2 linked regions of the Drosophila melanogaster genome follow. The protein of the gene in region 2 interacts with the protein of the main gene of each other region in a pairwise test. Each region holds a gene or a part of one and is shown on either strand. Other genes may lie near its edges.

Region 1 (4,579 bases), about 14 Mb from region 2:
TCAACAGTCACTTTGAAGATCTCTCTCTTTCGGTTTCTGTGTTTCTGTGTATGTCGCTGCTTTTATGGGGCGCCACATAAAAGATATACAAATGATGACACTGACAGCTGTCAGGCTTAGTTTATTTGATTTTATTATAATTAATTATAAGCAGCTGCCATTAATCATTGAATAATTTATAAGTTCGCAGATAGTATCGCAGATAAAGCACAAAAGAAGAAGGTTAGTCAGTCACCGGCAGACACGTAAACATAAATTAACTCAAAGTGCCGCGCGTAAGCTCTTAAGTCTCTAAAGAAAAACGTATTAGCAAGAATATTTGTTCATTACAGTACTAATAGAACGTCATAAATAATTAGTGCGAGTATACTAATAGAACGTCATAATTTACTGATCGACAGAATTTGAGATTACATCTCGTTGCTTAAAGACGCAACACTTAAATTTTAATGAAACCCAGATTCACAGAATCTGTCAGTCACTTGGCACCGGAACCAGTTCATCATTGGGCCTCGTATGCATATACGATCCGTTGATTTATGGGTTTTGCCTCATTTGCGCCACTGAAAAGCTTTCACACGACCAATATGGAAATGGCTGGGCTCTACTCTCCGAAATCAGTAAATCACGTAGCTCCGAAAACGCTATTTCAAATTACCCAGTTAATGAATGTACTCATCGTGCTGGTGCCATAAACTGCTTCCGTTCTTTACGAACAAAATGCGCTCAACAAATTAAAATGAAAATTTATGAGTCTCACGCCATTTCGAAGAGAGATAGTTTTGGATAAAGTGAGTGGGGGAAATGGGGACCACAACAACTTTGACTCTGATTAACTGCCATAGTTCCTCGAACTACGGTCGTGTGTGTGTGTGTGTGTGCCGGTGTGTGTAAGTGTGCGAAATTGCATTTGTTTTCTGTCATTATAAATTCAAATTTGGCGCGCCATAAATTTAGATACAATTTCCAGAGGTGCACTCGACTCTCTAAACACTTTCAGACGGAGGCAACTGGGCTGCAGATTTACATAGTTTAATATGAACAAACATAAATAAGTTTTATGTGCAGATATTGGAGAATTTATCGTTTTACGATTGTGAATTCGCTATTTGCCTCTTCCCAGACCCCGCAAAACAGTTCCGTTTTGCCAGCACATGGCCCAAAGTCTTCTGGAAGTTTGGAGGAGGTTGTTCGTTTCGGATTGGTGCCGTAGTTTCATACATATTTCGCCAGTGGCGAGTGCTTACAGTCGACATTTTTATTATATATGAAATATGGCTCGACAATCTATTTCAGATGTCTGAAATGTCGATAGTTTGTTATTCATAGCTGCAAGTTTTATAATCGAACGTAGCGAATTGGGTGTTATTGCTAGAATTTGTACTACTCTTCTTATCCTGTTTAAACCATGACTATTCTGGCATTTTTCTTATTCATATTTTGATATATATAGAACTTAACCCTTAACAAGATTTGTTCTACTTAACGATCGGAACACCAAAGTGAAATAATAATCTCTGAAGAGAGTGTGAAGAATGCGAAAACAAATAATACGAAATTTACGTCTTCTTATCAACATTTAAGAATATTATTAAATTTTAAGACCAATCAATATTTGAAATAATAGTTTTAATGACTTTTAACCGAAACTGTTCATCAGATACCTATCCCTTTCAATTAATATTTTATCCCATATTAGATAGCTAAACCAACTCACTGAAAAAGAAATCGCAATAATCACTGAGCTGTATTAGGCGATAAGCGCTAAGTCCATATAAACGCAATAAATTTCTGATTGCCGAATAAAATACCTTGTGAGAATTATCCCCAAAAACCCCAAAAATGAGACAAAGAGATGGGCTTACCGCTGTTGGGGCAGCTGCAGCTGTCATATAATCCGGTCTTAAATAATGATGATTGCTGGATTGCAGCATTTTATTATAATTTGTTAAATCCACTTTGACGGCTTTTCTTTGGTGGTTCGGTGGAGGTGTTGAGTGGTTGTTGCTTTTGTCCCGACCGCAAAGTACGGCAGTGCGCTTAACGGTAAGTGCCAATTTATGTGGCGTGTGCTGCCAACTCGTGTGAAAAGCGGCGCCTGCGCCTTGCTTGAAATATTTTCCAGCTGCCTGACTTTTCGCTGATTAAGCCGTCCACGTTTCGCGGTTCTCGTTGATGTGAGTACTTATTTATGATAATTTATTATTGTGTTTATTTTTTATTTTTCCTCTTTTTATTATTTATTCCGATTTCGATTCGCAATCGTTATTGCTGATGCTTGCTGGGCTTTGTTTGTAATTCGATTTCATTAATAATTCAGTGCTGTGGCGCAGGGGGGATTTCTCATGCGTCGAGTTGTGACTTTCACGCCAGCGGCATATTAATTTGTTGTTGTGATATGCTGGCTTCGCTTTAATTGTGCAATAAATTCATTAAGTATTATAATTGCCTCAGCGGTATTTATTATTTATATGTGTACACGATACATATGTGTGTAAAAAAGAATTTACACACTACTTTCTTTGCTGGCTTGCATCTACAATATTTACGTTTGATTCACGCATGGGCTTTTACAATGTATTCATTTATGGGTTTTCCTTTTGTTAGATATACATAGGTATGTATGTACTTTATTTATTTCTTTGGCTTGGCCGTTTTTGGTTAGTGGTTTCGCTCGAATGCCTCGTTGAGGGCGCGTTTTATGATGAGGCACGTACGTTATTAGATGGTTCCGGGAACGTGGGGTTATCCAAAAGTTTGCTATTTACTGAGCTAATTTTGTTTCACATGTATACTTTGTTTTAAACTCAGTCTAATTTTGATAAAGCACAAGGATCACTCGAAAACGACTTAAAAAATAGGCGATTGTGTTGACTTTCTCGTATATATTTTGAAAATTTTTTTTTTTTTGCGTTTGGGGGAAGTGCATATGTATCCGCCTGGCCGATTTTACGCTTTCGCACTCACAACACAACACTCCGGTCGTAGCAGTCCGTCCGTTCAGCGCACGTACGAACTTTAAACGTGAAATAACGAAATTCGACTAAAAATCTATAAACAACATGACGTGCACGCTCCTTTTCGCTCTTTTCGTATCACCCCCACTCTCCAATCGGCTCTCTCAGTAGTTTCGCGCTCGCTTGAAAACCAGTTCGCTCTTTGTTGTTTGTGGCCGTTTTCGTTTTCAACAAGTGTGCTTTTGTTGTTGTCCGAGGCCATGCGCTCCCCTTTTTCTTAGGGCGCGAGAGCGAAAGAGCGAAGTAGTTGGGGCACGAGAGCAAACGTTTTTAGTTCTGCGCTCTTTGCTGAGCGCGCATGCTTTTTGCTGAGGCAGCGAATTTCGCGTGGGAGCTGAGAGCCAAAAAGCGTAGTAGAATTGGCGGTTAGTAGTAGACGGATACTATGTGACGGAGAAGCAGTGTTGACGATGGGAAGTAACGGAAATTTCTGGATATTTTTGAAAATGTATATTTCCGCTTTAAATTTGATAAATAAAATGAAGGGTAATCACGGTACCCGGTTGTTTAAGAAACATTTTTTTATATTATACTTATGTACCAAGAATTATAAGGATTTTTTAATATTATTAAATAAAATCTTAAACATTTATTATACACATAGTAGGGAAAGATTTTTGGAAATTTGTAATTCTGAGCACAAGTAAGTTCACACTTAGATCAAGCAATAAGTTTTAAATATTGCGTATACGCCCAGTTGGAAAGTTTTTCTTTGCGCGCTATCATTGAGTACAAAGCTAAAAAATTCTAGAAATGTGTAAATAAAATATTGGAAATTAAAAATAGAGCCAACACAACACACACAACGCTGGGCACACCGACACCAACACGCTCATTGGACGATCGCCGCTTCTGTGTAGCCATTTTGGGTAATTTTGTTGCTGTTGTTGTTGTTTCACAGTGTTTTGTGGGGAATTTATTTCCACACATGTGTGTGCAGCCATGGCGCCTGTGTGCGTGTGGAGAGCGGAACGGCGTCGGCCATAATTGTTTACGAGCAGGTGGGCGTGTGTGTGGCGCTCGTTGGTGTGCCAGTGTGAGAGTGTGTGTGAGGAGGGGTTGGGGAATGTGTTAAAAACTGCAAGCCGAGGAAATATGATTTAGAGCACCAAACGAGAGAACCATTTCCGTGGAGAGAACACGATTTGGTGTATTTCCCTCACTTCGCAGAGAGAGTTTTCCCCACTGTAAACAGAAAACAGCTGGCGAAAATGAAAATCTCGGGTTGCACATGATGACGGGAAATGTCTGAGACGAACTTATCCCTCATTTTGCACACTGAAATCAATTTTAGTTTCTCACTTAGATGCTATAAATGCAATAAGAATGGAATGTTCGAAAGTAATATCGTAACATCTTTAACATTAAAAAATGTTAATAAAAAAAAAACAAATTTGTAATTCAAGTTTGCCGATTAAATTTCTCTTAATGCTTAATATGTACATATGCAGTTTAATATCTAAATCATAGCTCCCACGTTAGGGCAATTTAAGAAATCAAATATAGGAGTCATAATCTCTGGTTAAATTGCTCTATTGGGTCCGCATCATCGTAAAAAGCAA
Region 2 (4,616 bases):
GTGCATGCAAAACAAAGTTGCGCCATGCCAATGGTCGTACATGCTCGTATAAAGTGTTCAGGTTACAGTCAAAGACCTAGCGAAGTAATTTAATGACGATCTTCCGCGTGCGCCAAAACTTTCGCACGGTAAGCATTGACACTGCCTGCGGTAAAAAAGAGACGAAATGATTAGGTCGAGGCGTGACCACCATACTAATGGTTTAACTGGCATTGAAACTGAATTATGATTAAAACCCCTTTGTTATACTATTCATTAAACACGCGCTTAAACAAATGTTCTTGCAAATGTTCAACTTTCGCCATTGGCCTCGTCCGCCTCAAACCTTTTTCTTTCAGCCATCGACATTCGCATTAAACCAGTAGTACATCAAATGTTTTAACACAAATTTCCTAGCAATTACGCATGAAAATATTTCCATGGCGGCATATCTAAGGTTTTACCCAAATATATATTTCTGTGGCTTAAAAAAACACCACTCAAAACACTGAGAAAGTTCATCAAAATGGAAAGTGTTGCCACTATGCCTAAACCAAGTCATGCAAGTCTTCATACCCTTGCGGAGGGTACATTCACTTAAGTCAGAAATTTCAAAGCTGTGAAGGACACAATTGTGCCCATATATGGTATATATATTTCTTGCTAAGTATCAACGACCGAATCGGTATAGCAGATAGATTATAAATTGTTTAAAAGAGGACGATCGGACAGCCGGGCTTGGCTATTTCAAGTTCGCTGTTTTTACTAATATGTTATGAATAAGATACATATATGCACTTTATAAGGCCACAAAGGTAATACAAAAAATCTATCTCAAAACAATTTAGCCGTCTAATGCTGTTATTATAATTTTAATAGTGTTAATCCTTACCACGTTATCTAAGCAATTTTCGTAGTTCCCAATTTGTTTTCTCAAATTTTGCATATATATCATTCATAAAAAATGTCTGAACAATTAAGCAAACTGTTTTAAAAATTATCAACAGTTATTATAGCCACAATTTGCTCGGTTACACCGATACACTCACTCACTTAGTGAACCTATTCAATCGAGTCAGCGAGCTGTATGCAATTAATATCTGTGTCATAAGCTGCTTGGTTGGCTGCTGGCTGATAACTTACATAATTCCATTACCATTACCCAGCAGTATGGTGAGTAGACAGCCCAAGTGACCAATAGTTGGACACGGTAAGGCTTGTTATGGTCGAAATGCTTGATTATGTTATTGTTCGCTGGTAAATAGAGCAGTTGATCAGACCATGTATTTACCTCCATACATACCCTAATGTAAATACTCTTACTTTTTATATATCCTAACACATTTCGCAGTAAAATGTCTTAATATATATATATATATATATATATTAAAATAAATATACATTTTTGGACATATTAAGAAACTCGTTTAGCCGGAGCCGGAGTATCCACAATAGAGCTCAACACAAGTGGTTAACAGCTGGTGGTTTGACTTCTTCTACGGTGATTGAATTTGACATTAGACTATTGCGAGCTCGTACATGGCAGCCGGAACAGTGTTCAAAACAAGTTTGGCTTTATTTGCGGAACATAATATTTCTATCACGAAGTTTCGAATATGATTGAGGAAAAGAAGAATCCATAGTACTGTAAAAACAATTCACTTAAAAATAAAACTTTTTCGGATCTACGTTTAAAAAAAGATTTCAGTTCATACATGAACTGAATACTTATCCATGGTTGTCTTAAAATCTGGTTAAGTGCTAACTCTTCTAGGACTAGTGGGTAAAGTGTGTAAGCCCTTTGCTCTTTTAAGTTTTTGCCTCCATTTGTATTTCTAGCAGAGTGTTCTTCACTGAAGTGGGCATTACTCACCTGTTTTAAAAAGCAGTAGGCACAATCCCAGCAGGCACAGAATGTTTATTCGACTTGTTGAATACTTCATATTGCAGGTATGGCGTGTCGTCGTAACTGTAACTGTAAATTTTCTTGATGTGGTTGGTTCAGTTTCGTTTTGGGGTTAGTTCACAGAATTTAAAATACCATAGGCAAGCTCGGATAAAAATAGTGGTTGGAAGCGCGGGAAGTGGGGAGCAGCAGCAGCCACCGTACCGATGACGGAGGCAGTTACCGTTGAGAAAACCTCTGTTTTGTTGAAAACAATTGCTAAATAACTAAGAAGGCAGTGTCGCAATTTTTCAATTTAGATTTTTTGAGCCTTGTGTTACAGTTTTCTTAATGGTGTGTCTGGCTTATGCCGCGACTGCGGCTTTGTGGCTGTGCCTTCACTTGGTTAGGACATGTTTGTATTGTTGTAAGCAGATTTAGTTTCTGCCCCTATTATTCGAGCTTTCGTTTGGCTTTAACCAACGCGACGATGCATAGCTAACACACACGTTTACAGATTACAACACTTAGTTTTCCTCCATTGCTTTTGGCAAGCGATTTTTAGTTAGGTTTTTTAGTTTCTTTCACGTGAGACTGCAATGACCGCTGTTCGTTTTGTAGTTACCATGGAAAAGATTGCTAGACAAAAATGCAAAGAGATCAAATCGAAGATCGGTGTTTGATTTAGATTTCCCGTACGGTATCGCGGGCACCTCCATATTGGAAAACTCTGTATGAACTAGTCTGTAGCGCGTAGAGGAAAATGCGAAACAAAATAAAACAAAACCTGCACGTTTTTATTTTGTTTGTCGAAGCTTGTATATATATTTAGCGTAAACTTTCTTTTTAACGCAAAGTTAGCTTACCACCGACACACACGCTTGAGCTCTTCGACTAAACTGCAAAATGCAGTTAAAACTGCTTTCTACAAAATGTTAAATTTTTGGCTGGTTGCAATGTCCAGTCAGAGGTGGACTTTATTTCGACGCGTTTACGAAATAAATTAGCAATCGAAAGCCCAAAAATTGATTGTGGCTTATTGCAAACAGTTTAGACCGCCTGACAAGTTCGGGTGACCCTCGAGCGTCTCTGCTTACCGTGCGCTTAAGCGAACCACACGTCCTAATCGAAACAACTATACAGCGCGACTGTGCGGACGAGTGTCTTGAGACTCTGGGCAAGCGCAGCCAGCCAACCAAGTTTCGAAGTCTGGCTTTTGGGCCAAGCTTGGTCTGCGCCACGCTTGGCCCCGACTGTTACTTTACATTAACAGACTGTTCAAGTTGTTGCTGCACCCGCGCGGAGTCGTTTGTATCTCTTAAGCTTTTGAAAGTAAGAGTAAAGTTAACGCTTGCGCCATTGCAGCTTTGCTACGTTTTACAAGTTATACAAGTTATCAGAAAAATGTAGTCCAGACCCATATTCTTAGTGAATTTCAACATTTTACTGAGAATTTCATCCAAAGCTCCCCATCAGTTTCAAGCTATCTACAAGCGGGGAGCGGGCTTTGTTTATTGTTTTCTGAAACTACAACAATATCCACCCTCTAGCCAACGAAGGCTGGGAAACTATTTACCAAGGCGATTGTGAAATGTTGTTACCTTTTTCGTTACATTTTCGTTTAGCAGCAGGTTTCTGGATCGCTCGATAGTGGATTACGGTGCTTAAATTAAAGAATGCTTACTACTTCAACATGGGCTTGGACTTGAATCCATGTCAAGCATGGGATCGAAGGAAGACCACTCAATCACTTTTAGAATTAATACCACCCAGCTGAATTGCCCTTGATAAATTCGATTTATATGCCCAACATATAGCTTTACTCTAAAGTCTAAAGTAAAGTGGCCAATTTCGAACCATAGAATTGAAAGTAAAACCGAGTTGAAAACATGGCAACGACCAAGAACTAGGCCAAAGCAGCCAACCAAAGCCAAGCAAAAGCTGTAAAACAACAGCTGAAGTAAAGGGGTTCTGGTGAACGGCGATGGCTGATGGTTTGAGCAAGGCATGCGAATTAATCTAATTCTTTATTTATTAATTTATTTTTGCTGGATTGTGTTTCACACGATTTTTTCTGTGAATGGAGGGCGAGGTGTTTTGTTGCATTGAATATTTTTGACTTTGTTTAGGAAATTATTTAATTATTTCCGTTACTATATTAAAAAGTGTGTAACGAAGTGTATCTTGAACTAAACGTTTCGGACCATATAAAATATACAAATACTTTATCAAGACCATTGGCAGAGTCGATCAGGCTTGTCCGTCCGTATTAACGTCGAGTTCTCAGGAACTATTAAAGCTAGAAGGTTGAGATTCAGCATACATATTCTAGTGACATGGACGCAGCGCAAGTTTGTTGTCCCATGTTGCCACACCCACTGTAACGACCTCAAGCAACCCGAAACTGCTACGCCCACATTTTTGAAAAATTGTTGCATATTTTTTTGTATATTTTCATCAGTCTTGTAAATTTATATTCATTTGCCAAATCCATTTTTTCCACGCCCACTCTTACGCCCACAGACCGCCCATAGCTATCGTTATACTAAGAACACTTTGGCGGCGTTCCTTCTAATGCCCACAAACCCCCAAAAGCTGCCACGCGCACACTTTTAAAAAGTTTTTGAGATTTTTTTTTATTTTATTATAACCCTTGTAAATTTCTATCGGTATACCAAGAACACTTTGGCCACGTTTGGTAAAACAGGCGATTTGGCAAACTCATTAATGAACCGTAATAACTCCGTTTCCT

Evidence for each region.
Region 1: the proteins of Cda5 (region 2) and elB interact in a two-hybrid assay, tested with the Drosophila melanogaster proteins (one large-scale study listed by BioGRID).

Annotation. Positions count from the first base shown.
Region 1 is NT_033779.5:14,406,503-14,411,081, forward strand, and holds the start of elB (elbow B), read right to left. Parts: upstream 3,048-4,579; 5' UTR 1,935-3,047; coding exon 1,866-1,934; intron 1-1,865. UniProt on the Drosophila melanogaster protein: May negatively regulate Notch-induced cell proliferation in the eye-head primordium. May act in leg and wing primordia to negatively regulate body-wall specifying genes and thereby promote appendage formation. Required for tracheal development.
Region 2 is NT_033779.5:56,229-60,844, forward strand, and holds the start of Cda5 (chitin deacetylase-like 5), read right to left. Parts: upstream 3,041-4,616; 5' UTR 2,962-3,040; exon of another isoform or gene 2,731-2,961; intron 2,504-2,730; exon of another isoform or gene 2,021-2,503; intron 1,966-2,020; exon of another isoform or gene 1,955-1,965; 5' UTR 1,923-1,954; coding exon 1,853-1,922; intron 1-1,852.